4 linked regions of the Diceros bicornis minor genome follow. Each later gene encodes a partner of the first gene's protein in a complex. Links are inferred from orthologs where the notes say so. Each region holds a gene or a part of one and is shown on either strand. Other genes may lie near its edges. The genes, in order: PPP4R3B, PPP4R4, serine/threonine-protein phosphatase 4 regulatory subunit 2 and PPP4C.

The links.
Region 2: PPP4R3B (region 1) and PPP4R4 share a complex: the UniProt entries of both Homo sapiens proteins name them as parts of the PP4 complex. The link is inferred for Diceros bicornis minor from reciprocal best matches to the Homo sapiens genes PPP4R3B and PPP4R4.
Region 3: PPP4R3B (region 1) and serine/threonine-protein phosphatase 4 regulatory subunit 2 share a complex: the UniProt entries of both Homo sapiens proteins name them as parts of the PP4 complex. The link is inferred for Diceros bicornis minor from reciprocal best matches to the Homo sapiens genes PPP4R3B and PPP4R2.
Region 4: PPP4R3B (region 1) and PPP4C share a complex: the UniProt entries of both Homo sapiens proteins name them as parts of the PP4 complex. The link is inferred for Diceros bicornis minor from reciprocal best matches to the Homo sapiens genes PPP4R3B and PPP4C.

The regions. Positions count from the first base shown.
Region 1 is NC_080751.1:30,880,989-30,887,981, reverse strand, and holds the start of PPP4R3B (serine/threonine-protein phosphatase 4 regulatory subunit 3B), read right to left. Parts: upstream 3,001-6,993; 5' UTR 2,738-3,000; coding exon 2,596-2,737; intron 1,247-2,595; coding exon 1,191-1,246; intron 1-1,190. UniProt on the Homo sapiens protein: Regulatory subunit of serine/threonine-protein phosphatase 4 (PP4). May regulate the activity of PPP4C at centrosomal microtubule organizing centers.
Region 2 is NC_080763.1:39,886,240-39,893,071, forward strand, and holds the start of PPP4R4 (serine/threonine-protein phosphatase 4 regulatory subunit 4), read right to left. Parts: upstream 3,018-6,832; 5' UTR 2,936-3,017; coding exon 2,819-2,935; intron 1,466-2,818; coding exon 1,392-1,465; intron 1-1,391. UniProt on the Homo sapiens protein: Putative regulatory subunit of serine/threonine-protein phosphatase 4.
Region 3 is NC_080741.1:71,096,869-71,104,167, forward strand, and holds the start of serine/threonine-protein phosphatase 4 regulatory subunit 2, read left to right. Parts: upstream 1-4,293; 5' UTR 4,294-4,504; coding exon 4,505-4,538; intron 4,539-5,075; exon of another isoform or gene 5,076-5,144; intron 5,145-5,195; exon of another isoform or gene 5,196-5,392; intron 5,393-5,537; coding exon 5,538-5,619; intron 5,620-7,299. UniProt on the Homo sapiens protein: Regulatory subunit of serine/threonine-protein phosphatase 4 (PP4). May regulate the activity of PPP4C at centrosomal microtubule organizing centers.
Region 4 is NC_080765.1:21,875,158-21,882,144, reverse strand, and holds the start of PPP4C (serine/threonine-protein phosphatase 4 catalytic subunit), read right to left. Parts: upstream 3,010-6,987; 5' UTR 2,921-3,009; intron 2,697-2,920; 5' UTR 2,634-2,696; coding exon 2,536-2,633; intron 1-2,535. Other genes in the region: ALDOA (fructose-bisphosphate aldolase A), read right to left, coding at 5,359-5,454, 5,544-5,743, 5,911-6,085, 6,174-6,257, 6,560-6,720, 6,850-6,904. UniProt on the Homo sapiens protein: Protein phosphatase that is involved in many processes such as microtubule organization at centrosomes, maturation of spliceosomal snRNPs, apoptosis, DNA repair, tumor necrosis factor (TNF)-alpha signaling, activation of c-Jun N-terminal kinase MAPK8, regulation of histone acetylation, DNA damage checkpoint signaling, NF-kappa-B activation and cell migration.

The sequences.
Region 1 (6,993 bases):
CTAAAATTTATCTTTTCCTTTAAAAATCTCTGCCATATTCACTTTACACACCACACACACAAAAAACTGAAAATAATCCAAATATCTAACAGGTATATATCATATATCAGAATACTATACAGTGTTTAAAAAAATATCAACTAGATCTACATTGTTAACACAAAGAAATCTTCAAAATAACATTGAGTGAAAAATGAAAGTTGCAGAAATACATGTAAGAGTCTAGATCAATTGTGCAAAGTTTAAAAACACACAAAAGACTACATATTTATGGATACATACATATGCAGAGAAGGTATAAAAGCATGTACAGAAATAATACACATCAACTTCAGAATAGTGGTTACCAACAGGGAGGATGCAGAATGGATATAATGAGATGGGTACAGAGGGGTCTTTAACTCTATCCACAACGTTCAACATTACACAAAACTTTGAAGCAAATATGGTATAATGTTAACATTGTTAAACTTAGTCGTGTTACAAGGACATTCATCAGATTTTTCTCTGTACTTTTCAATTTTGAAATCTTTCATAATAAAAATGAAAACATTCACATAATAAAGAAAGGGTGAATCACTGCTGCCATTTCCAGATTAAATAATTAGGCATGTTAAAACACAACACAGGTTTTTTTCCCCAAGACAATAAATATTAACAGAAAACATTACATAACCGGCAATGTACACTTTTGTAAAGTATCCACTGATTATTATATTAAAAATACACAATTAAAGAACAGGATTTAAATGCTTCTACTTCAAAAACTCGACCTTTGCTTCAGCCAAAGGATCTAATTTCACATCACAAACAGGCTTTCCTTGATTTTAAGAGTACCTCTTTGAATTTTCTTTTATGCCATTTCCTCTAAATGTGATCGAGAATAAAAGGCTTAGTGTACAGGGTATAGAAGAGATCTGGCTAACTGTAGTTAAATAAGACTAATTAATACATTGTATTCTAATACAAACTAACATAGGCTCATTTCAAAGATAATAAATTACTGCCAGTACAAAAAACTTTCACTCTTCAGTTTGAAACTTTTAACGTGCAAGGGAAATACATATGGTCTGTAACTTTGTTTACCAAACATGTTTTTTCTTGTCAGGAAAGCCTTCCCATCTTTGTCAGATTAATACTTCCTTGATCACAGATGAAGTCTTTCAAATTAAAGATAAACAACTACTTGCCTGTTGTTTCTGATATGCAGTGTTTGGATTTATCTTTGATTCCAAGAGTAGTGATCCTGAAAGATAAAAAACAGTATTTGTAAGTTTTAATTGATAAAATCCCGAATAAAAAATCAGAATCCACATTAAAAAAAAAAACCAAACCAAAAAAAACTTATGTTCCCTTCACCCAGCCAGACATCTGAAGTATCAAATATATTCGAACTCACATTTTTCTCTCCAGATCTGGGCTTCACATTTAATTTAGAAGGTATCATCCTATCCCCATACCCCCTTAAAGGAAAAAATCCATCTAAGACCAACATTCAGACCAAGAATATAAGGAGACTAAATGACTATTAAAGTTTTATTGAAACGAAAATTTTAAGGTCTAAACAACCACTTGAGGCCAAACTCTTTTTAGCCAAGTTATTTTATTGCATTCCAGTTTAACAAATAAAACAAATTACAAAGGACCACAACAGGGGTCTAAGTACTTAGTACACAAACTACAGAACTGCGTTTTATCTTTTTTTCCTTAACAACAGAAGGTAGGACATCTCATGTAGTAATAAATGTCCATGACTGTTTAAAATAAAAAGGAAAGTGCAAGAGTACAAATACGTCAAGAATAAATCTAAGATTGTTATTTTTCTATTATCTGCACATAGTTGCTCAAATCGAGGCATTCCAATTACAATGAGAAAAATGTTTTAATTACAGCTCTATATTTTATAATTTAAAAATACTTTACATATGACTCGTACAATAAATCAACGAATACAAGTTTACAATCTGCTTTGGTGTCCTAACTTGTTTAGGTTGTGAAGTATCCACTTTTTCACAGCACTCTCTACGAAAACAGCCTGGAGGGATCCCACACTAAAGATGTGTATATGCTTGTGCGTGCACGTATCGTGGTAACAGTCTGCAATAACCCCAGAAAAAGATGCCTTTTGCTTTTCCCCAGCACCTGTCGACTGTGGCAACTGGGGCTCGTTGGTAAAAAGTTAAAAAAAAAAAACTCAGGCAAGTTCCACTAAACCTTCTGTACCAGACATATATATAAATATGGCTAAGAAAATTTTAAAAAAAAAGGGAAGGGATCAGCTCCCTCGGACCAGTAGATCACTACCTTGTCTCTCATTACTTCCTTCTCTTTCACACTATCCTCTTCAAAAGAAGAGACTGGAGAGGAAGGGGTCAAATCCTTAACAGGGATAGGAGGCGGGGGAACGGAGAATCGGCATCGGACTGAGGGTTAATCCGGGCAAGTAGTTTCTTTTTACCGTACAGAAGTGCAGGCACAAAATCACTGCGCTGTCCCAAGACATGGTAGTAACAGTACTCGGCCCAGGGCCTAAACCCCAGGGCTGTGCCCTAACCGGAGGCACTGTCCCCTATCCTACCGTTCCAATAACCTTACCGTCGGACTCTGCCCGAACCAGGAGCGACATCCCCTTGAGCTCCTCCACATAAGTGGAGGAGACGTGCCCGGTGCCTCGGTCGTCCCATTGCCGGTCTTCGTTCAGGGTATAGACCTTCACTCGCCGCCGCGTATCCGACATGGTGGCTGCTGTCCTGACCGCTCCAGCCGCCGCCTCCTCGCTCACCTCGTCCGTACCCCTCACTCCTGAGAGACCGGAGCGGTGGCGGCGGCAGCGGCGGCGGCTCCGGAGAGGCCCGAGTTCACCATGGCTCTCAAGGTTCAGCCGCGGGAAGGGGCAACGAGAGCTACCGAGACCTCTCCGCCCAGAGTCCCGGTTACCTCTCACTTCACCTCCGCACACAACCACTCTCCCCTCCCTTCGCCCCCCCGGAGCTCGCTCGCTCTCCCGCCGCCGCCGCCGCCGCCGCGGTAACTACTACAGATCCGCCATCTTGTAACCCGATTCTCTCTGCCTTTCTCTTCCTCCTCCAGCAGGCTCGCACGGGCTGTCCTAGCAGGGGCTACGGCGGCCGACGAGTCCAACGCGCGACGCCTCCACTTCTGCACGCGCTTCCCGGCCCGGCTGTGCTCGGCGTTTTCGCGAGGCGGGGTACTGGACTGTGATGGGAGGGCCTAAGTGCGATTTCCTCCTCTCTCGGCCCCGCCTGCTGGCGCGGGATCTCGGCCAAGTGGGCGGTTCTCGCGAGCTCCGCGTCCCTCTGGTGCCGCGAGATTCCTGTCTATGCGGGCTGCGGTAGCTGAGTCGTGGATCGTGCTTCATGAGGTGGCTGCTAGCGCTCGGCGTGGGGCGACCCGTGGGACCCAGCTCTGAGGAAAAAGCAAAGCAAACCTGGGAGGTATGCGTCCTTGGACGGGACTAACCTTGTGCAAAAAGGAAGGAAATGTGCTCGCGTTCCTTAATAGAAGCTCACTCTATCAGCCTGTGGGAGAAAAATAGTCTTAAACCTCTTTCTGTGAAGACATAGGAACTTGAAGCCCTTTAAAGCGACCTGAACCCACTAAAACTCGTTATGGAGTCTCTTACAGTTAAGCATCTCCTCAGGAAGTGTTCTATGCATCTCCAGGCGATTATAACGTCGTACAGAAGTGTGTTGACCATTTCCTATTTCCCGCGAAGGCGTTTCACCGTTAGGCTTTTGGTAGCTGGCCGTTGAAAAGCATACTTTCCGTTTTATGAAAATACAGTGCCCTTCCCGTGTTTGTAGCCTCGAAAATAAGTCTTCAGATAAGTTTAGGGAGGTGGCGGGAAGCTGCTTTCCTAACATCTCTAAGAGCATTGTTTTGATAGTCTTGAGTTTCTCTTGCGAGCATTTCTTGCGTTATCTTTCGGGAGGTCTTCGGCGCTGAATAAGCGAAGGAAGAATTCTCTCGGCATTCACGTTGTCAGACATGGCGCGGTGGATACAGGTCGTGCGTTGGACAGTCGTTCATTTCATTCCTCTTTTGTTCTTGGTAGAATCGTTTTATTTATTCTTTAAGACGGTCTCAGCTTGGTCACCCGCCAGTTCTTACACCCTGAAAGGTGAAAACCAGGCGAGATGCACACGTTGATCCTGCAGCGTATCTTGGGAGTTGTAGTCGTTACTTATTACTGGTCTGGTCAAAACGTGCTTATGTTTTGACCAGGTCTTATGCATGGACACCCTTCAGCGGTACATGTAACGTGAGATAATGGCTTACACAGAGCAGGCGCCTGATAAAAAATAGATTCTAATTTCAAATTCGGGATACATAGAATTTTTTTAAATCTAAAGAGGACCTCAGAAAATGTACTTGAATTAAGTAGTTATAATATACATAACAATAGAGCCCGTTAATTGATGTAATTGATGTGGACAAAATGCATTTTGAGCCCAGAGAAAAATAATATTTCTGTCTCAGATCAGGGAAAGCTTCACATACATAACTTTTGAGTTTGATGTTAGAGATCGAGTGGGAGTTTGGCGTGCAAAGGTTTTCAAGGCTGAGGGGACAGGGTGAACAAAGTCATAATGTGTTACTGGCCTAAAAGAACTTATAAGTTAAAAGAATGAGAACTATGCAGAAGTCACTTTAACACTATACACGTTAAGAGGTTAATATCCTACAAATAGATCTAACTCTGGACAAAATTGTGAAATGAGTCATTTCCTGTATTTATTCAATCATTCAATAAATATTTGTTGAGCATATACTATGTGCTAGGCACTGTTCTATACAGTGAGTAAAATAGAAAAAGTCCCTCTTCTCATGGAGCTTACATTCTAGTGTAGATAGACAATAAACAAATACATGCCTGGTACTGATAAATGTTGTGACCGAAAATAGAGCAGCAAAAGGTTAGAGAGTGAGTTTGGGAAGGGTAATGATGTGTATTGAGGAAGTCCTCTGTGAGAGAGGCAGTCAGTCAGCCAAGCATTTCCCCAGAGGAAGAGAGAGCCAGGAAGTGGGAACAGCGAGTACAAAAGCCTTGAGACTGTAGCATGTTGAGTGAGTGAAAGGGTTAGCAAGGAAACCAGTGTGATTGAATTGGAGTGAGAAAGGGGAAAATGGTGGGAAATAAGGTTGGGAGTGGGGGAGAGGCTATTTTGAAGAGCCTTGGATTTTACTTTGAATGAGTTGCAAATCCACTGGAGAGTTTTGAACTAAGGAGTGAAATGATCTAAGGTTTCAAAGCATCCCTCCTATCTTTTCTTCAGTATCTCTTCTGGTATACCCCCTAAGATCTGGTGACCTAGAGAAAAAGAGAACAGAGTTAAACCCATAGGACTCATCTCTCCCCATTGCTGGATCCTCAGGCACACGTTCTCCCTTGTTTTCTTCTTCCCCTAGGCCACAGCGATTCACTCTCACATCTCTTCTACTGCCACAGGCCCACCTGTAACATTTGTAGGGCTGGATATTTGCAAGGCTCAGGACAGGCATACAAATGGAAGACCATATACCATAAGTCTAAAATATTTAAAAGTTTTAAATCAAGCTAACAAACTGGAATAAAATATATTTTCTTCTCCTACCTTGGGTATACTTTGACAAATATATTTTCATAATGACCTGGAAGCCAGATTCAAATCTAGTGTTCTTGAACTCCTCAGAGTTCTAGAATCTCCCTCTGGGCCCCAGAGTCCTTAGCCTGCCTTCCTTTTCTTCTTCTACCTCAGCTCTGTCCTGTACTTTAGCAGCCCTTATGTGCACACATATAATACCCCAGCTTTCTGTCCAAGCCCTGTCTGCACTCCGTGAATGTAGTTACCCCCTGGCCACTCCACGTGAGGACAGAACTTGAGAAGAGGACTGTGCAGACCCTGGAAGCAGGCTTGGCCTTTGGGGCAGGGAATTCCAGGGTGCCCAGAGCATGGTCTAGAAAGGGGAGACTGGGTTCCATGGACTTATCACCTCATGGAGAGAAGCATGGACAGAGGGCCTGCTGAAACACAGGGCCCAGCACTTCACTTGGGTCTGAGGGCAGTACTGCACTGCAACAATGTGTTTTCCCCAGCAAAGCTTCTTTTCTTCAGGCAGTCATCAAAGTTCCACTCCAAGAGTTGATGTGTGTGTGCGTGTGTGTGTGTGTATATATATATATATATATATATATATATATATAATACTTACATTACTACCTTTTTTTAAAACACAAATAATGCAATACTATACATACTGTTGTACAGATGTATACTAGTTTATTTAAACCATCTCCTATTTATGTATATTTGTGTCATTTCCAGCAGTTTCAAAAATAAATGATTGTACAGAAGTTATTTCATGTGTGCCAGTATATTTGTAGGTTAAATTCCTGAAGCAGGGTTTTGCAGCCTTGGCACCATTAACATTTTGGACTGGATGATTCTTTGTTATGAGAGGCTATCCTGTACATTACAGGATGTTTAGCAGTATCCCGGGCTTCTACCCATCAGATGCCAGTAGTATTGCACCCCCTTCTCCAGGTGTGACAACCAAAATTATCTCCCATCACTACCAAATGTCCCATAAGGGCACATTACACTTTTTAATTCTTGCAAGTTTAAAAAAAAATATTGTTAATCTCTGCAGGGTAACCTGGGTTCTCAGTCTAATTGACTCATGTCCTTGAAATGTGAGGCTTTCTTTCACCTTTCCCAATTCTGTTAGATGTTTTTATGAAAGAACTGTTATGAACGTTTTTTGCTATATTCACTCATTTTTTTCCTTAAGGTGATAGATCTTTAAGATTTCTCTATTTAAATAAACCATCAAAACTGATAACTTTTATCCTCTTCAGCTGCATTCCTATTTCTTTTCCTTCTTATAGCCAAACTATTCAAGGGTTGAAATTGTTTATACTCCCTTCATTTCCTCACTGCCTACTCATTCCTCAGTTGAACCCATTCTGGTTTCCATCAATCCCAGCCCTCA
Region 2 (6,832 bases), on another chromosome or scaffold:
TGGGAAAAGGCATATGTTTACAATTATTGTTCACCATGCTGGACATGTTAATTATTGAGGAATAAGTACTTCAAACATAACACAATAAAATGTCAAAATAGGTTAAACCTTAGATTATTCTCTATGCAAACACCAAAAACACATACCGTTAATTTACACATAAATAAGATAGTTTTTCTTTTAAATAAATAGGTAGAAATGATGAGAGCATGCTACCATAGATTAACAAAAGAGGAGGGGAAATGACATCAACATAAAGTCTAAGATCCAGAAACATTTTCAAGTGGTAGAATTACTGGAGAGAATGGTCCAAATTGCAAGAATGCTAAAATTCTGACTCAAATAATAACAGAACCGAAGATGCCACTAAGAGGCTACAGAATAATTAAGAAAATGGAAGTCACGGAGAGGAGATTTTTTTTTCCGCAGGATCATTCAATGAATAACAGGGGACTGGAAACATGATCTATAAAACAAGAAAGGAGAACAAGAAACTTGCCAGCAACTGAAACTGGCAAAGCAGACTTGAGCTAAGGAAATAGAGATGACAAACATCCCAGGAGGGAAATAACACCAGTTTTCAAAATCTGATTCTGAGAACCAAAGCAAAAACTAACTTGCCAAAGGCGAAAAAACATGCAAGTTAAAGAAAAATTGTAAAACCAATGTACACGAAATGCCTTAGGAGAATTTCTGTTTCTTAAGTATTTTCATAGATATGTTCCTTAATGTTCACCACATTAGCTTTTAAGAACATAAATCCACAACACAATTTTTCAAATAGTTGAGAGAAATCTTGTAAATATTTGCAATAACCATTTGCCTTAAGCAATTCTATAGAGCTTGTGATACGAAAATTAAATCAGAGTAGGCTCAACGAAATTTTAAAATCGCTCAGGCAAAATTATAAAGCTCACATTGCAAAAGTAATATAAACAGGACATCCTGAGCAACAAATTGAACTACCATCTTTGTGGATTTCTTTTTCTATACACTAAATAGCATGTAAGGTTCATACACTACAATTAACTTACAATTAATCACTGTATATTCTTAAGTCTCATCTAAACTTATTGGATATTATATGAGAACAACCAAAGCTGGAAAATTTAAAAAAAGAATGAGATTCAACTCAAAACATTAATTGTTGTTCCTCCTCCTCCAAACAATCTTCTATAAGTTAGGTATGTTATTTGATTTCGGTTCTCAAATTTATAAGTCTATGTCTAGTTCTTAATTTATAACATAATTAAGTGCTACACAGACAAAAGTACTCTGTTCAAGTGGTTAAGGAAATTTGAACATAACCATAACATGACATTTCAGAAAGCATTCATGGATGCTGCCACAGAGAAAGAGCAGGAATTTCACAGAAAGACTTCAGGAAATACCTGAGCAGATACACAGCCCTTTCAATATCACTGAGGTCTTCATCAACTGTCAGTCTTTCTATTTCTTCTGGTGTCTGTCAAGTGTAAAACACAAATCATGCACATAAATATCCATCAGGGACCCTGTATGAGTCTAGACTAATGAAGTTTCACAATTAAGCATTATTGAAAAGTAACCACGGGTCTGAGGACTCTAGGCGACTTCAACCACAGAGGTCTCTAATCGTCGGGTTTGGGTGGTAGAGTTTTGGGGGTCTGGATTTTTTTTTTTCTCTTTTTACTCTTCTAGCTTCTAGAGTGAAGCTTGAGAATCACAATTGTGGCTTCAGAATATTGCCGAAATCAATTTTATATGCATATATAAAATATATACATACTTTTTATCTCTTATACCCCAAGGCTCCAGCATTTTCCACTCCAGGACATGCTAAAAGGGGGGATGGATGAAGATGCAGCCCAGTGGGAACGAAAAAGGCGAAATCTGGAGTAGGGGGAGGGAAGGGAATAAACTCTGGGGCTGGAAGGAAATCAAAGATTCGAGATATTGCGGCAGGTGGGAGCGAGAAGAGCTCAAGGAGCTACTAAGAGGATGGCTGGGGGGTCCGCAAACTAGGTTTGCCAGCGCTGAGGGCTGGAGCCTCTGGGAGGCAGATGACTCTGCGGGGTGGGGGAGCTGGTGAAGGCTGACTCGCTCCAGGGGGGTGGGGTGCAGGGTCCCAGCCAGAGTCGCGGAGGGGCCGGGAGGAGAGGACGTGCGGTGACTCAGGATGGGGGCAAAGGGTCGGGCGGGCTTTGAAGATCGGCAGCAGGACGACTCTAGCACGGGTGCTGGTTGGGAGGGGAAGGGAGGCCGGGGCTGACTTGAGGGCAGGGGCACCGGGGCTTGCTCTCATGGGGGGAGGGGATCTGGGGTGTCTCGGGGAGAGGGGGGGAGTCGGCGCCGTGCTGACCGAGGAGTGGGACGGGGGCCAGAACCCGGGCAGCACCAGGGGGCCAAGGGGATGGGGGGAGGCGAGGACCCGGGATACGGGGCTGCGGCTGCGGGGCAGCTCCTGCAGGGCCGGGAGAAAGACGGGCCACGGCCGTCCGGCGGGGCGGCGCGGGGGGGGGGGCACTGGGCCGGCCGTTCCTGGGGGCGGGCTGGGGAAGGCGCCCGGCGACTAGGGAGCCGAGGGCGTCCGAGGGGCCGCGGGGCTGGCCCCGGGTCAGGGGAGAGGGTCCAGCCCGGGAGAACCGGCGTCGCGTCGAAGACGGGGCCCCGAGAGGAGCCGGTTTAGGGTGACACGCCGACCGGGCACTGGAGGAGGACTGAGGGGCCAGCCCGACTCTGAGGGGGTCCGGGCCGCCTCGGGGAGGGCATGGGAGGGGGTAGGGGCCCGGGCAGGCCGCCGGGCGCCTGCGGGCAGCTCCTCCTCCCCGGGGCGCACCTTGAGGCTCCGGCGGACCGGCCTCTCGATGATGGTGAGCTCCTGCAGGTCCTCCATGTAGCCGAACAGGCTGTTCTGACTGAAATCCATCGCGGCGGCGAGCGGCGGCGGATGCATGGACCGCCGGGCCCCCTCGCCGCCCGGGCCGGAGCGGCCCCGGGATGCCGGACGCGTGCAGCCCCGCGGCCGCCCACGAGCAGGACTTTCTCCCGCTCTCGGCCGCGGGAGCCGGGCGGGAGGCGAGCGGGCGGCGGGAGAAGGAGCGCGGCCGCCGAGGGGGCGGGGCGGGGCAGGCGAGGGGGCGGGGCGAGGCGCGCGGGCGGGCTGGGGGGGCGGGGCCAGGGCGGGGGAGGTGGCACAGTGCCCACCTCAGCCCCGCCCCCTCCCGGGCGCCGCGCGCACGCGGGCCGGACGCAACTGCCGCGCAACGTCGCGGCGGCCCCCACCGCCCCTCTGTCCCCGCCCCTCTCCGCCCTCAAGTCCCACTCGCCCCGCCCCCGGCAGAGCGCGCCCCACCCTGCGGCGCCTGCGCAGAGCCTTCTACCTCCCGCAGCCGGTGGAGGCGGGCTGGGGGCGGGGGTCGGGGGCGGAGAGACTGAGCCAATGAGAGAGAAAGCAAAGGAGACGGAGTGGGCTGTGGTCTTGTTTAACCCGGTACAATAACTTTCCAGTTATTCGTGGGACTGCCCACCTCAGCCCGACAGCTGCTGTCGCAGAGACCAGCCTAGCTCAGCTCCAGCCCTGGGGGAGGGGTGTATACCCAAAATAAACAATTACAACCTGGTGTGTGCCGGGGGGGGGGGGGGGCGGGGGATGGAGGATGGAGGGTGTGGGAATCCAGTCCTGGAGGGGCTCGCATTTGGGGCAGGGCAGGGGTCAGAAAAGGACTCCTGGAGGGGAAATACTTAAACTGAATCTTAAGTGATCAGTAAGAGTTTTCCGAGAGAGATAATAAGAGTAAGGTCATTTTGGATTGAAGCCTGGGCGTGTTCTGATTGTGGGACGTGCAGTAAGAGTAGAGCTCGGAGTGCTGGAAGCGAGTGCTTGGCGAGGTGGGTGGGAAAGAGGCGGGGCACTTATGGAGAAAGGCTCTGTTCTGGGCAGCCACGTTGGGTTCTTTGCTTTTGATTCTGTTAAGAAGAGAAAGCGATGGAAGGGGATTGGGGCGAGTTTTTGGAGCTCAGGGACAAGAGTTATGTTGATCTACTCTTGAGCTCGTAAGATTCAGCAAGTCCTCTCTCTTTTTTTTTTATTTTCCACTCATTCTCTCTCCACACTCCCATTTCTTTACCCTCCATTTGCACCCTCTCTCATTGTGTTTAAGATATGTCCCAGTACGTGTATATATCCTGGAAAGATATTGTTTTTAGTTTGTCTATTTTTAATATACATGAATGCTATTGTGATAGGAACTCACTCTGTTTCCTGTTTTTCGCTCAACATAATGCCTTAGAAATCTACCCATGAGACTGTATATACTAGGAGTTCATTAATGCTGACCACTGATAGTATTCGATTTGTGCATCTAACACATTTGACTTATCAATTCCTTAAATAATGGACAGTTAGGTTGCCAGCAGTTCCTCGTTGCCACAGACAATGCTGGAATGAGTATTAGACGTGTCTCTTATGGACCATAAGAAAGAAACGGAATTGCTGGGTCACGAAGTCCACAGTGCCTGGTTTCACTCTGCCATGTGGCCCTCCAGAATGGCTTTGCCAATGTGCACTCCCACCAATGGCACATGAAGATACAAAGATTCCTGTTTCCCCACTCTAGAGGCTAACATTTGGTATTATCTGATGTCCTAATTTTTATCAACTTGATATCGATAAAGTAGTATCATGCTGTGATTTTCATTTGTATTTCTTCAATGTTTAGCGATGTTAACCATTTTTCCCTATACTTAACCATGGAGATTTTTTCCTTCCAAGAATTATCTATTTACATCCTTTGCCTATTTTTCTCCTAGATTTCCTGTTATTTTTCTGAATGAATTGAAGGGGTTCATATATATTCTAAATATTAGTCTCTTGTCAGTCTTGGACATTGCAAATATCTCCCAATCTTTCACGCATCCTGTTAGCTTGGTCTTCACTATCCTACAGTGTAGGGGAAATCCTTAATTTTGATTTAGCCAAATGCATCAAATTTTACCCTTGTGGAGTGTGCTTTTTGGGTCTTGTTGAAGAATCTTTTCCTTCCCACGATCACAAAATATTCTCCTATGTTTTCCCCTGTTTAGCTTCATACTTTTACCTATCACAGTTAGGTCTTAATTCATCCAGAGTTCACCTCGCGTATAGTGCATGTAGGAATACAATACTATTTTCTCTACGTAGTAAGCCAGTTTTCTCAGCAGTACCCACCAAACAATCCATCTTTTCCCCACCGATGTGTCATGGCGTCTGTATCCTATGTCAAGTCTGCACAGACACACATCTCTGTTTCTGGCCTCTCATTGCTGTTCTATTGATCTAGACCTGTCTGTTTCTGAATCAGGGCTGAGCTGATTTAATTGCTACGGCTTTGTTATATGTCCTAATATCTGGTAGAGTGAATCTTCCCACTTCTTGCTCTCTTTTTTCCCATATTGCCTTCGAGTTCAAAGCAAAAAGAGTCGTGGGTCACCTCAAAGCTGAAATTCAGGCTTTCTGATCTCTGCTCCACTAAGGAGGTGTGAAGGGAAAATCAAAAGGGGTGGATCTTGCTGGGATGAGGATGGAGAAGAGGCAAAGATGTGGGGGAGGTGGTTTTCCCTAGCAAATACCTTGCAGCCTACCCTTTATGTCAATTTCCAGAATTCTCCTCCTTTTCCCCTTCATTTGTAACAGATACTAAATAATACTTGTAAACTTTACCCTGTTTCAGCTAAGAAGTATTATTTCATATTTGGATTTTGTAACAGCATCATTTGAGACTTGATGACATTCTTAATGAGCAATTGATTGAATATACAGATGTAACTCTGATGTTGGCTGTTATAGGCCAGGAGGTTGATGAAGGGAAAATGTTCAGTTTGATGACTGGGATCTGTTACTGCTATAGTTACCAGCCTGTGGTGGAAATAGCCCACCCCAGCCTGGCTGCCAGGAAACCTGAGGCCCAGTCCTGGCTCCGCCAGTGATATGCAGTGGAACAACGAGCCCCATTTTCCACATCTGAAGTGCTTTTTTTGCAACTTGTCTCCTTGTGCCCTTGAAGCAGCCCTGTGAAGTACAGAAGAATTGCACCACTATTGCAATTTTACAGGTAATGAAACTGAGGCTCAGAGAAGTTATGTGACTTAGGCTTGAGGACACAGCTAAGGGAAGCTAGATTTATTCATTCAACAGCAGCATAGTGGTTAAGTGCATGGACTTTGGAGCCCACCTGCTTGGGTTTGAATCCTAGCCCTGCTACTTCCTACTGTGGGCAAGGTACTTAACCTCTCTTTACTCAACTCAAGACAGGAATAATAGTAGTACTTAGCACAAAGTCTTGTTGTAAGAATTAAATGAGATAATGTACATACAATGCTTAGAGGAAATACCTGGCATCTAGCAAGTGTTCAGTGTTTTCTATTATTATCATTACCACCAGACCAGTGTTCCCCCTGTACCCAGGTTCAGAAAAGATTTAACAAATTGTGCTGGATCAATTGATTATTGTGAGAGGCAGAATAGTGCTCTCCCAAAGATGCCCATCCTAATCCCCTGAATCTGTGACTGTGTTACCTTACCTGGCAAAAGGGACTTTGAAGACGTGACTGATCTAAGGATTTTAAGGTAGGGAGAGTATCTGGCCGTTGCTGGCTTTGAATATGAAAGGAGGCCCTAGTGGGCAGCCTCTACAAGCTGGAAAAGGAGAAAAAGAAACAACTTTCCTAGAGCCTCCAGATGGGACGCAGCCTGCTGACACCTTGATTTTAGCCCAGTGAAACCCAGTTCTAACTTCCAGAACTATAAGATAATAAATTTGTGTTGTCTTAAGGCACTAGATTGGTGGTAATTGGTTACAGAGGCAATAGGAAA
Region 3 (7,299 bases), on another chromosome or scaffold:
TTGCAGTCAAACTCAACGAAGTCATCCAGCTCGGCAGTACTCCTCTTTGCCAGCCTCCTCTCCTAACACTGCTCTTCGGCTCAACACGGCCACCAGCAGCAATCACACGGTTGTGGCACCACAGGAAGCAACCCAGAGTCTTTCAGAACAGATCCTTTGTTACCCTTATTTCCAATAAAAATGTGTTAGCTTTGGAGAGTCTCTAGAAAAAAGTTAACCCTGATGATACGTGAAACTACCCTCTTAACTGTTTAGAAAATTGTTTCCCCTTATTTTGTCCACCTTCCTACCTCAGCTTCATCTTGATACCCACTACGACATATAAATAAGGTCCAAAAGGCATGAGTAAAAGGCCATGAGAATCAAAGAGCCTCCAGGGCCGGCCCTGTGGCTTAGCGGTTAAGTGCGCACGCTCCACTGCTGGCGGCCCGGGTTCGGACCCGGGCACTCACAGACGCACGGCTTCTCCACCGTGCTGAGGCCGCGTCCCACATACAGCAACTAGAAGGACGTGCAGCTGTGACATGCAACTATCTACTGGGGCTTTGGCGGGAAAAAATAAATAAATAAAATCTTCAAAGAGCCTCCAAGGCTTTCTGTAGTGGTGTTTTAACCCGGCCTGTTCCCTGTCCTCCAATCCTTGTAGACGGAGTGTGAGTTTTTCTAGACTTTTCCTCAATCCCCTCTTCATGTCCCTTCCCACAGCCTCATCCCCGAGGCATGGTCAGACTCCAGTAATTCTCCCTGGGGTTATAAGAAGATCCTCAAGCATTTTCTCTGACATGGTCCCAGCTGTTTTCTCTCTCTCACTTCTCTTTCTGTTTCCATCTTCCACCTCCTACTCTGTGTTTTCTCAAGTTCGGGCTTTTTCCCTCTTGCATATTCCTGGAGCAATGAGCCCGTCTTCCACATTGATGTGTGGTTTACGTTTATTTAAGGTCCATCTCCTCCATCAGACCATGAGCTCCGTAGGGGAAATAGAGTCTAGTTACATCTTCTCCCTACACCCAGGAGGCCCTCAACGACTGTTCGCCTGGTTAATACCATTCCCTCTGCCTGGAAGTCTCTTCCCTGTAGGTGCAAACTTTTTCCAGTCTTTAAGCAAGGCCTTTCTAAAGAGCAACTTCTATCCCTGCCTGGAAGAGATTTCGAAGGCCTCTGACCACCCAGTTCGCATACACTCCTTCTACTTTGCATCAGAATCTATGCTCTGATATACCAAACTATACTTTTACAGCGTACTCTTATCTCTCCCGGTAGTTTGCAACCTTCTTGAGGACAAGAAAGTGTTTGGGGGCTTTGAAGTCAGTCCAGGTCTGAAACATGGGTCAGTCACTTGCTTGTGTAGTTGTGTGACCATGGGCAAGTTAGTTCACCTCTTTATACCTCAATTTTCCCTTCTGTTAAGTGGGATAATAATATCACCTATCTCATAGGATTTTTGCTAGGATTACACTGGCTATTTTTGTAACAGAGAATACTTAATAAATGTTAGCTGTTACTATTAATATTCTCATTTGTCGCATTAGTTATCTATTGCTGTGTAACAAATTATCCCAGAATTTGGAAACTTAGAACAATTATAAACATTTGTCATCTTTCATAGTTTCTGTGGATCAGGAATTGAGGAGCAGCTTAGATGGGTGGTTCTGGCTTGGGATCCCTCATAAGGTTGTGGTCCAGATGCCAGCTGGGGCTGCAGTCATCTGAAGGATTTCTGTAGGCTGAAGGACCCACTTCTAACGCCTCGGTTCTTCTCCATTGGGACCTTTCCCCAGGGCTGCTCTAATGTTCTCATGACATGGCAGATGGCTTCCTCTAGAGCCAGCAATCCAAGAGCCCAAGGCAGATGCCAAAGCATATTTTACGACCCAGCCTCAGAAGTGAAACACCATTCCCTCTGCCACACTCCTACTGGTCACACAGGCCAGCTCTGATTCAGTGTGGGAGGAGACTACACTAGGGCGTGAATCCCAGGAGACAGCACAATTGGGGCAATCTCAGAGGCTGGCTGTCACATTTACATTCTGTTTTCTTCCAAAGGGATTAGTATCAGTGAGAGGCTCTAGCAACCACAGACATTGTGATGCATGCTGCCTAGAGAATTCCAAGGAAGGAGAAAGAAATGAACCGCAGAAATAATTCTTCACCCTCATCTCTTGCCACTTCTGCCCTTGCACTCTCAGCTCAATTCAGACTGAATTTCTTATGGCTCTTCAGAACCCACCTGGCTCTTCTCTCTCATTTCAAGGCCTGTGCACTGATGGTTTTCCTGTATGAAAGCTCCTCTTGGCTACCTTCCTCTCATAATTCGGGTCTCAGCTTAAATACCTACTTCCTCCAGGGAAACTTTCTCTGATCCCCCAGGCTGCTGCTGCTGTGTGTACTTTGTCTCCTGTCATGGACTTTTCCAGTGTTTAGAAGTTGAGGCAACCCCAAGTGAGGGGAACAGTTGATGAAAACAGACAAAGCAAGGTGAAAGAAATTAGCATGGTATATTGTCTAACAGAAAGTTCCAAAAGAACTTTTTGCAATAGTGGAATTTTCTTTATCCATGCTATATAATATGGAAGCCGCTAGCCACCTGTGGCTATCAAGTACTGGAAATGTGGCTAGTGTGACCGAGGGACTGAATTTTACTGAAGAACTCAGGAACTGAATTATAAATTTTATTTAATTTTAATTAATTCAAATTTAAATACCCACACATGGCTAGTGCCAACTGTATTGTCCCTCACAGCTCTTGCAGGAAGAGGCCTGCCTGAATAGAGGACAGGGTGGCAGGGAGAAGTGGAGACTAAGCTTTGCTGTGTAGAGAGTAGGCCCCTTCAGATCAGAAGGGACCAGATAAACTAAATCTATGGTGAGTGCTGGCCAAGTGTTTGATGATGACACTCCCTTATACCCCCCTGCAAGTCTATTTGTAATTGAGCTGGATGCTCTGAACAATGGAAGAGTTTCAAGACACAGGGGACTGGTTCTCTGATGGCAAAATTGAGAGAAGTATTTTGTGTGGGGGCAGCTTTTGCCTACCTCTGCCACGTGGGGTCAGGGTTAGGGTCAGGGTCAGGGCCATCGTCTTTTAAGAGAGTCAACAGTTGCAACAGCTTGTGTCCAAATCTGCACCTTCTAAGACAAGAAAAGAAATAGTCTTTCCTCCCTCCCTTCCTTCCTTCCTTGTGCTAGGCTTTGAGAGGAGAAGGTGGAACAAGTTAAGATCTTTTCCTTGAAAAGCTCACAGACAAGAGAAGACAATAAAAATGTCCACACGCTGGCTGGGAGCCAGATGTTCTGGGTTCTGGTGCTGTTTTCCAGGCTAGCTCTCTACGCCTCAGCTATCCTATTGGTAAAAATGCCAGGCCTGGAGAGGACTTCCGAGGTCCCCGCCCTCTCTAACTTCCTGGGCGCTTACGCAATGTCATCAGAATCATGATAATAAAAACAACAGCCACGCTAACTGAGTGCTTACAAGTTCTAGTTGTCGTTAGTGCCGTGGAATCGACTCCGACTCCGAGTGACCCAGCATACAGCAGATGAGAACCCTGCCCGGGCTTGTTTAAGGCCATCCTGTCACCTGTGGCGCTGTATCAGACAGTGTGCTAAATGCTTCATATTCTCCATTTCACTCAAGCCTCACGGCTGTTTTACAAATCCCCACTTTGTAGATGAGAAAACTGAGGCTCCATGAGTTTAAATAACTAGTCCAGGGTCACACAGAGAGTAAATAGTTGAGTTGGGCTTTGAATCTAGCTGGGTCCAATCCCTAAGCTTTTAATCCCTTTGCTGTATGCATTGCTTCTCTTCAAGGGTGAGTCAGTGACGAACGCTGGGTTCAGGCAGGGAGGTATTCTTGTTTCGATTGTTAGTAATACCGACTGTTTGTTTACGCACACTCGGACCGCTGTGTGTACACACGCTCATTTAATTCTCACAGCAACTAACAGGGTGGTCGGTACTAGATTGTAGAGATGGGGAAATTAAGGCTCAGAGAGGCTCAGTAAATTGCTCAAGGTCACACAGCCAGCAAAAAACAGGCACTCAAAGCCAGGGGTCTACCTCCAGCCCCTTGCCTTGACGACTCGGTCTCCAGCACCGCGCAGGCACGGCGGCGGCCACCAGCAAGGGAGCGGCCACCAGCAAGGGAGCGGCCGGCGCCTGCCGAGTCTCGGTCGGCCCTAGGGGCACGCCTCCGCCGCGCACGCGCTCTCGGGCTCCGGGTCGGGGCGCGCGGCGGGCGCGAGGACGGCGGCGGGGAGCGTGCGCGCGGTGACGTGCCGGGCGCCATGTTGGAGGGCTGGTGGTAGCGGCTCGGGGAGGTGCTCGCTCTCTCGGTCTCGCTCTCTCTCGCTCGCTTCCCCCGGCTCCCTTCGGTGCCCCCCCCGGTCGCCTGCGTGACGGAGTGTGTGCGAGGGAGGGGGAGGGCGTCGGGGGGGTGGGGGGAGGCGTTCCGGTGCCCGGGAGACCCGCGGAGGGAGGCGGAGGCTGCGAGGGACTCCGGGAAGCCATGGACGTCGAGAGGCTGCAGGAGGCGCTGAAAGGTGGGGGTAGCTGCCCCCTCTCCCTTTCTCCACCCCGCGCGGCCCTCTCCCCTCTCCCTTCGGGGCGGGTGCCTCCGAAGGCCGGGGCCGGGCGCGGGCGGCGCGCTTCCCCGGCTCCCATCCCCCCTCCCGCCTCCCCAGGGGCGGGGAGCCCTGTGGGCAGCTCCCTCCCGCCCCGCTCTGGGCTTTGTGTCGGCCGCCGGCGTCTGGGCTGGGGGAGGGGAGCCGGGGACGCTCTCGCCGGGGCCCCAGCCCCTCTCCCACCCCTCCGGGTGCAGGTCTCGGGCCCGCAGCCCGCTCCCCGGCGGGCTCGGTTCCCCGGCAGGCCCCCGCCCGCCAGGCGTCGGGGGGAGAGAAAAAAGTAAAAGGTCGGGGGCGGAGGGGGCGGCAGAGCAACTTTGAAGTGTCTCGGGAAGCGTTTTGCGGGGCTTCTGAAGTCATCTTTCCACGCGCCCTCCTTCTAAGTGGTCGCCCTCGCTGCTCTTGATCGGTCGCCTTCTAAGCAACAGGCTTGGGAACAGCGTTCTCAAACTTAGAATAGCGTGGTTTCAGCGTTTCGAGAATTGTGTTTTGACATCCAGAGTCATTTGGGGACGGCTACAGGCGGTAGCTGGTGTTTCTTAAACGCAGATTTATGAACCTTCCTTAGATAAACAATTTGTGGGGGTGGGGGCCTGGGATTAGTTTTTTAACCAGCTTCCCGGGTGAATCTGATGCTGGTGTGCCCCCGGACTGCACTTTGAGAAACACTGCCTTAAGGATGGTTTGTGGAGAAGTTGAGTGCCCCCTTTAGGAGGATTCTTGTTACCTGTGAAGAGGGTGACATGTTGGAAGTTGAATTTGGGAGAGTCAAGGTGGTTATTTGGTTGAGAGGCTAATTTTTTTTTTTTATTGTTAATGTGAGGAAGGACTGGGAGGAAAGTTTGTTTGTAGAGGGCATTGGAGATGGTCGATGGACTTTGAGAAATACTGATAACTTTTCTTTCTTCTCTTATCTAGATTTTGAGAAGAGAGGGAAAAAGGAAGTTTGTCCGGTCCTGGATCAGTTTCTTTGTCATGTAGCCAAGACTGGAGAAACAATGTGAGTTGAAAACATGTATTCGTTGTTATAGACCTATGTATCATTCAGAATTGCTTAGGAAAGGGAAAAAAGTGTTTTTCAGAAGAATTGAAGAATCCATCTAGCTGAACTGTACAAGTTCAGTTCAGTCATTTAAAACATTTACTAAGTGCATACACTTTATTTACTTTATGCATGCTCTGTAATGAATTTTTAAAATTTGTTAAGTTTTTCTTTATAGCTAAGCCTTGGTACTTTTAGAAGTTACTGGTCTAAAAGAGCCGGAGAAAGGAAGAATGCCTACTCCCATTATAACCCTTTTTGGCCATAACAGGCTTATTCCCAGAATTTTGTGGCTTTGATTCTGTTTCAGATTCTTTTGTTGCCGGTATTTTCTCATATTGTCCTGTATCCAGCCCTTTGTTGTCATATTTATGTATGTGGGTGTTTGAAGTGTCACTTCTGTTTATTCTCTTGAGGACTCAGGGTGATTATCTGACAAATTCCAGATGCTACAGTTTTGACTGTCCTGTAAACTTTCTAGGATAGCTAACTTGTTACATGTGCTCAGCATTTTGTTAGGCTTGTTTCCAAGTGTTGTGAATTTGAAACTTATACTATGAAGTTAGGACTGTTTTCAAAAGAACGTTCCAGTTTGATATGTGAGTAGTTTGTGTGGCAGGAGCTGTTTTCACACTTTGGCTAAGTTGATTTGTAGAGAGCAGTGCAGATTTGGTAACTTCCTTTTAGTCTTTTCTTTGGGTACGGAGTGCGAGTGCGGAGCAGGAAGGGGAAAGGTTTCTTTGGCTGCGGTGTTAATAAGTGGGCTTCCTTTTGGCTCCCCTACTTCTTGCCTATTTTAAAATTCATTTTGAGGCCCAATATAAGAGTGGAAGCTTCAGCAAGTGATGTATACTTTCTTTCACTATTAGCAAATGTTCATTTCTCACAAGATTTGCTTATGGTTGTAATGTAGCCTTCTAATAATTAGCCTAATTTTAGAAAGGAAAAAAAACTTATTTAATGGTCGTGTAGACAAGCTGAACTTCCTTAATGCATTATTAAGATTACCAGTCAACTTGAGAATGTGACTGTGATCTGTTCAATCTTATATTTATTACATTTTAAAAATGGAACCCTTTAGGGGGAAAAAAGTCATTTTTGCCTCTGAATTATAGTCTCTTAGAACATCTTGATTTTTAAAAATTGATGCAAAATAACTGGTATTTATGTAAATAAGCTTAAAAATGACTAGATGCCAGCTTTCAAAAATAATTCCTAAATCATAAATGCTTAGATTGCCACTATTTCTTTTGAAATGCTAGTTGGTCCAAACTTACCCCTCTCAAGAATATCAAGAGGAAAAGCATTTTACTTTCAGAATTTTGGATACATAAAATTATATTAAACTATCTGGGGATAGATACTTAAAAGCTCTTCTCTTATTTAGCTTATCAGGTCTGTATAAACTGCCTTTCCTTTATGATGAAATATATTGTCTATAAATGTATAAATAGTTGAAAGTTTCCAAAAGAAAGCTTTTTAAAATTCTGTCTAACTGGATCACCAAGTGGCTAGGGAAATTTAACCTGATGTTTCTGGGAAGTTATTTTATCCTGATAGAGAACTTAAACTAGCTCCTCCTCCCTCCGGTTAGGTGCTTGTCCATTTTATTTCAAATGTTTTGTATTAAAATGATTG
Region 4 (6,987 bases), on another chromosome or scaffold:
CCAGTAGGGCCCCAGCGCGGTCTGGGAACAAGGCCCAGCCTCCGACCCCAGCTCTGTCCCTTGCAGCATATCACCAGCCCTCTCAGGGCTCGCCCCTGCTCCCCTTGACTTCCGCGAGGAGCATTACCTTTAGGAAGTGCCTACAAAAGAGCCAGGCCCTGTTCCTGGATATGCAGAATCTCATCTGAGCTCCATAATGATTTCAAAGACTTGGAGAGATCAAGTGACTTGATCAGGCTCATATTGTTTATAGCTGACGAAGCCGGGACTCATACTGGAGGCCACCTGATTCAAAACCCTCTGCACGTCTCATATGCTGACGTCTTTAACAGGAGCAAGTTCAACTCACACACTTCAGGCCTCTCTAGTTCCAAGGATTTGAGTCTACGTACCCTCTGAGCAAGCTGAAGCTCTGACACTACCAGCCTTGGCCTGGACTCCTGGTGGGTCCCCCAGAAGGCCATGGCCAGGTGCTAGAGTTGGCCCCCCTTCAGACTGGGCCTGCGATAATGGTGGCCAACTCAGGCCCCAGCCTAGTGCCTCCTGGCTCCATCTCAGCTTCAACTGGGCAAGACCCGCCTAGCCCTCAGTCCTCTACAGCTCCCTGCCGCCTCTCACACAGTCTAAATGTCTCTGCCTGGCTGTCAATGAGCATGGAGTATAGCGCAAGACCTGGATCCAAAACCAACCTCCCCTCCAACCAGCTGTGAGACTACAGGCAAAACATTATCTTCTCTGAGGCTCAGTTTCCTCTTCTGTGAAATCCTCACCCTGCGCTGCCTACTCCATAGGGCTGTGCAAAGAGCAACAAAGCCTGAACACATAACCTCTCTGTTTTTCTGAAATCTCCACAGTGCTATTTAAGCATTAGCTATCACCACCACCAAACTGAGCCAGGCCTGCGGGCAGATAAGACTTACGGGGAAAAAGAATAGTGCTAGGCAGAACAGTGCCAGACAGCAACTGATTTAAGTTCCTAAAAATGCCAATCAAGACTGAGTAATCAGGGATGACTAAAAACATCTTAGGGTCTGGTCAGGGAAGTTTTCTTGGGCTGGCAAAACACAGAAGAGCCACAGACAAGCATTCAAAAAGGGGCCTTGCCTGTTCACCAAACCCATGCAGCCTCTGACAGCCACAGGCCCAGAACCCAGCCCTGCCACTTTCTCTCTGGGTGATCTTAGTCAAGCCACTAGGCCTGTAGGAATCATGGCTTCCTGTTCTGTAAAATGGAGTAAATAATCCCAACCTCCCAAGATTGCTGTGGGGAGGAAACGACCGTAAGTTCTTTGCCAGTACAAAGCCAGGCTAATAGTGGGCCTGTTGTTCAACAAATGCAGGGTAAGCCTGCTGGCTCTTTTCCCACAATTCCCCATCTTGGGGGAAGCCACAGTCAAGCAGTAGCACCAAGGAGGCAGGTAACTGGTCTCCTCATTGGTGCCCACACATCTCAGGGCCTCCACTCTTACTGTCACTCTGCCTGGAATGCCCCTCCTCACTGGCCCTGCTCCCATCAGCTACCCAAATTATTTTCATTTTTCAAGGCCACCTTCTCTTAAAAGTCTTCCCTGATGACTTCAGTTCATATCAGCATTGCCCTCTTTCCATGCAGTAATAACACCACCACCTAAAGACTGCCGAGCACTCACATTGTACCAAAGCTCTCTGCTAATCCCAAGCACCAACTTACTGACTTTCACAACCATCTTATTAAGTGCTACTATTCCCACTTTACAGATGAAGAAACTGAGTGTCAGAGACCTCAAGATCACCAACACAGCTAATAACTGACAGAGCTCAGATTCCAACCTAGAGCCATCACATTCCAAAGCCTGGGCTCGTAACCACGACATCATCCTACTTCCTACAGAACTATGAGTTGGGCCTCTCTCCATAGCATGCTTAATTCCACCCTGGCTTAGCTGCTACCATTTCTTAGGCTCCCACAATGAACATGAGAGTGATCCAACTCCACCTTCTTGCCTTAACGGCCTGAAAAGGGGACAGGACACGGAGAACTAGTTTCTGACTCCGTCCCTCACTTGCTGGTTGACTCTGAACATGAGAGTCCTCACCTGTAAAATGGAGACAATTCCACCCACCTTTAAGAGTTGTTGTTGGAATTAAAAGAATTTTATAAACCACAGAGTCTTTAGCTTTTCTGCCTTGAACTTTGTTCCTGCTGATATTCCCTTTTATCATATTATTCTTCCAAGTCTACCCCCAAAGTTCAGTTCCTCCGAGAAGCCTTCTCTGTTCCCCCGACAGATAAGGCTGTTTCCCTAAGCTTCCTACGTACTTTCTACAACGCTCTAACTCCACTGAAAACACATCATCTAATACTTCTAAGTGTCCTTATCCAGGTCTTTCTTCCCCCAGCAGGCTGGTTGTTCCTCGAGGAAAGTGGCCCTATTCTGCTGCTCTCGGAGAAAGCTTCCAGAATGAGCCAGGCCCAAAGTTCTCAGCTGGGTTTGCCCCAGGCCGGAACCCGTGGACAGCGGCCGGGCCTCCCTTCCCTGGGGCCGCCGGGCTCACCTGGCCTTAGCGCACAGGGCCTTGACTTCGCTCTCCTTGATGAGCTCGCAGCGCCGCAGCTGCTCGATCTGCCGGTCCAGGTCGCTGATCTCCGCCATGGCCCACCCCCGGCGCGGGTTAGAGCCAGGGCCGCCGCCCCCTCCGCACCGCACAGGGGTCTCCTGGGAAAGGCGAAGACGAGCCCGCGGATCAGTGTCCGTGGGGGGCGCCGGGACGGGAGGGCAACTCAATTCTGGAGCCAGCCCGGCTCCCCCGACCCCCGCCGCCCCTCACAGCGCCTCCCGGACCCCCAGCGTCCCATGGCACTGGCTACCCCCCGGCTAGCTCCGCGAGCCCCGCGGCCCCGCGCTAGGGACGGTGGCCTAGAGGAGTCTCGGACTATTACCGCCGCTGCTGCTCCGGCTCCGGCTCCGGCTCCGGCTCTCGAGCTCCTGCCTTGCTCCTTTCCTCCGCTTTGGGCCGCCGCCACCGCCGCTTCTACTTCCGGCCCCGCCGCGGAAGCAAAGGGGACCAGTGCCGCCGCGCGCCGGACGTGGCGTCATACTCAACCCCTCCCACGCCGCGCCCTGAGCCCCACCCCTCAAGCCCAGGGAGCGCTCCGAGGCGAAGGAGCCGGTCGCCGGTAGCGTGCGGGCGGAAGTGACTGTGGGCTAAGCCGATTGGCGCTGTGAGGGCTGCTAGAAACCACGCTCCAGTCCCCTCCCATCTCGGTTAGGGAGACTGAAGCCGAGCGGGCGCTCCGGTTTGTAGCTTTGTTACACGTTTTTGTTTACCTGGTTTAGTTGGCCTCCCCCATTACAATCTCAGAGGGATGGTACTTTGTCTGGTTCACGCTTGCGGCCCCAGTGCTTAGAACAAGGCCTGGCACAGTAGGCATACATAGGTATTTGTTCAATGGATGAAGGAATCCCGGTCCAAATCTCTTTCCATGGTTTTGGAAAGAGCCAAACCATGTCTCTTAAGTGGTCCCAGAGAAATCCCTGCCATGGAGGACCTCCGAAGTTAGAGGCAGAAGGGAGTCCACCTTCCCCACACCAAGCCTATGGCTCAGTCAACACGACCTCTCTGATTCCAGAATGGTCCCCTGGACACCCGTCAGTTGCTTCCCATAGTCTGCAATTTTATTCCTTTTTTGAAGAGGAAACTGGCTCAAAGATCTTAACTTGTTCATGGTCGCATAGCTAAGAATTTTGGGTTTGAAGCAAGGTTGAAATTTGAACCCAGGAAAGCTGTGTTCTCAGCTCCAGCTTCTCCTCCGTCACTTACTCTTTCTGGAACTCACTTTGTCATAAAATAAGTCCCAAACTCCCACAATTGGGGTTTGAAGTCCTCTGCTTCCCTGGTCTCTTTGCTGCAGGGAGGGGAAGCAATTGGTCTTGAAGCAAACTTCATGATGTCTGAGCCCTTTTGGAATGTGCTTTTTGCTATCTTCTATTGACCTTCAATTTTTATTTGCTTTACTTCAGATTTTGTTTCACCAAGTGGAGTAAGGCTAGGCACAGAAGTGAGGCCTGTTTGGAGGGGCACAGGGAATGGGTTTGGTTTTGGATGCAGGCAACAGATGCAAATGTGCAGAGAGAAGGAAAGGACCAAGTTCTTAAACTCCTAGAACTAGAACTCCTAGTCCTAGATAAGTCACTTCTACGAAGATCACTACAGGGATTCAGTGGGTCCACAGATCAGAAAGGTCAAGATTTTTCTTTCTCTAGCAGGCAGCTCAGACAGGAAAGGGCCCATAACAGGAAATTTGGGAAGTGGCAGGACTATTCCCTGGTTATGACTAGGATTTTTAATAGCTGAAAAGACCTGGTGTAGTTGCTGCTATACCCCAGCCTGGGCAATTGGGGAAGGGTTCAAAGTATGGCATAGGGGTCTAAGTGCAGGGCCCATTCTGGCTTCATGGAATGCAGCAGCTACAGAGGCTCAGTTGTTAACCTGGAACCTGAGCTCCACAGTTCTGTGCGTATGTCTATCTGCATTGTTGAGGGGGGTGTTAGAGAGGATTCCAGGTTCTTCAAGGAGTTCCCAAAGACTAAGAAGCCAGTTCTGATCCTATCTCCTGTTAAAATGGGAAGACGGGCAAGCTCAACAGTGTAGATTAAGGAGATATGCATTAACAATCTTGTTTCCACCAAGAAACAGTGCAGTCTCGGTGCACTGTAACCTTAAGGATAAATTGAGGGTAACAGCACCTCTCATATAGAACATTTATGTTATCTTATATAGAACACATAAACCCAGGAAATCTTGGCTTTTGTCAGTGGCTGTTCTTCTCACTGGGGCCTTCTGCACCCGTGAGTTCTGGGCATAAAAGTGAGGCTGAGTCTGCAACCTCATGACTAGCAGTTACAGACACACTTCCCAACTGTGAGCCTTATCAGATGCTGCTGGTAGAAGGGGGTGGAGCAGTTGGTGGCTGGAAGAAAATTTCACAAGCTCTCCTCTTGAAACCCTGGGCAAGTATAAAACAAGGGGGATAGGAAGGTCCTATCCCACCCCCTTCACCTTTTTCCTGCCCAAGAAGGAAGAACACAAAACAAGGGCTCTTTCTTCTGGGCTCTGCCACCTCCCCTGGCCCTCCCCTGCCCTGGACACCACAGAAATGGACAGCAGACTCCCCCTTAAATAGTTGTTTATTGGCAGTGGGCTGGAAAGGGCGATGGAGTTAGCATACACAGACAATACCACACACCAATGTCACCAGGGAGGCAAGAATGATGGGAAAAAGTAGCCTAGAGCCCTGGATGAGGCCCCCTGTTCAAGAATGAGTGTGGGAGGGGGCGGGCCTGGAGTGTTGAGGGGGTAGCCTTAGAATACCTCCACTTAGTAGGCATGGTTAGAGATGAAAAGGGACTCGCTGGCTGCAGCCCCGGCCTGACCACTTGGGGTGTACTTTCCTTGGCAGGCGAGGCTGTTGGCCTAAGAGGAGAAAGGAGCGAGAGTAAGAAGGTCTCTTCTCAGAACCCCGTCCACCCGGCCACCCTGCCCACCTCCTGCGCCATCCTCACCAGGGCTCGCTTGACATATTCCTCCTGGGCAGCCTTTAGGTTCTCCTTCTTTCCACCCCAGGCCTTCAGGGCAGAGGCCTGCAGGGCTCGGCCATAGGAGAAGGTCAGGGCCCATGGCTTCAGCAGGGGGCACTTGTTGATGGCGTTGAGGTTGATGGATGCCTCCTCCTCACTCTGGCCTCCAGATAGGAAGGTGATCCCTGTATAGCGAGGGGTGAAATGGGGGGAGGGATTGTAGTCAGAGATCCAGCAGACTGGCTGGTAGGAGCCCCTAGAAGCTGGCCTGGAAATCAGACCAAGTGGGCACAAGGATTGTGGGTACAGTTCATCTACCTCCCAGAGGTCAAGACGAGGGTGTGGGTCTCACCAGTGACAGCGGGGGGCACTGTGCGGCGCAATGCTGTGACAGTTGCCATGGCAATCTCCTCGTGAGAATATTTGTGGGTGCAGGCGTGGCCTGGGGTTACCATATTGGGCTTCAGCAAGGTGCCTTCCAGGTAGATGTGGTGGTCACTCAGAGCCTTGTAAACAGCAGCCAGCACCTAGCGCAGGGCAGGACCAAAGTGGGTAGGTTAGAGTCGGGGGACGGGTCAGCCCACCACACACTGCCCAGGGAGCCAGACAACCTACCTTCTCGGTTACATACTGACAGCGCTTCAAGTCATGGTCCCCATCAGGGAGGATCTCAGGCTCCACGATGGGCACGATGCCATTCTGTGGGGTGAAAGACAGGGTAGCCATGAGGCTTCCTAACCCGGAGCCCCACCTACAGCTCTCTACAGCCATCAGCCAAGATCTTATCTCCATGATGACGGAGACTCATAGCTGCACAGTCCTCAGCAGACTGTGGGCGAGAGCCTTCTCTTCAGATCCATCCACACAATCCCTGTTCTGCCCTCTGCTTACAAAGCCCTCAAGTGAGGGAGAGAGGGATGCTGGGAGATGTGTGGCAGGCTAGCTGACATTCTGGAACAAAATGAGGTGGGAGGTGGCCTGTTGGGGACCTGCAGGCCCACCTGCTGGCAGATGCTGGCATAACGGGCCAGAACGTTGGCATTTTCCATGATGGCAAGAGATGAGGGAGTGTGCTCCCCAATCTTCAGCACACAGCGCCACTTGGCAAAGTCTGCTCCATCCTTCTTGTACTGGGCACAGCGCTCAGACAGCCCATCCAGCCCTGGAGAGGGGACGGAGGAGTCAGAGCATGGCAGAGGAGGGGGCAGGTGGCTCCCACTCACCCTGGTTACCCAAGGGGTACCGACCTGGGTGGGTTGGTTGGTAAGGCAGGGAGCCAAACAGTTCTCACCTTGGGTGGTCGTCTCGCCGTTTGTTCCTGCCAGGGGTACCACGCCCTTGTCTACCTGTTGGGGTGAGGACAACAACATAAAACAGGAGAAATCATCTCTAGTACCCTCTTCTCCTCTCTAGTCCCACTCTGCCCCCA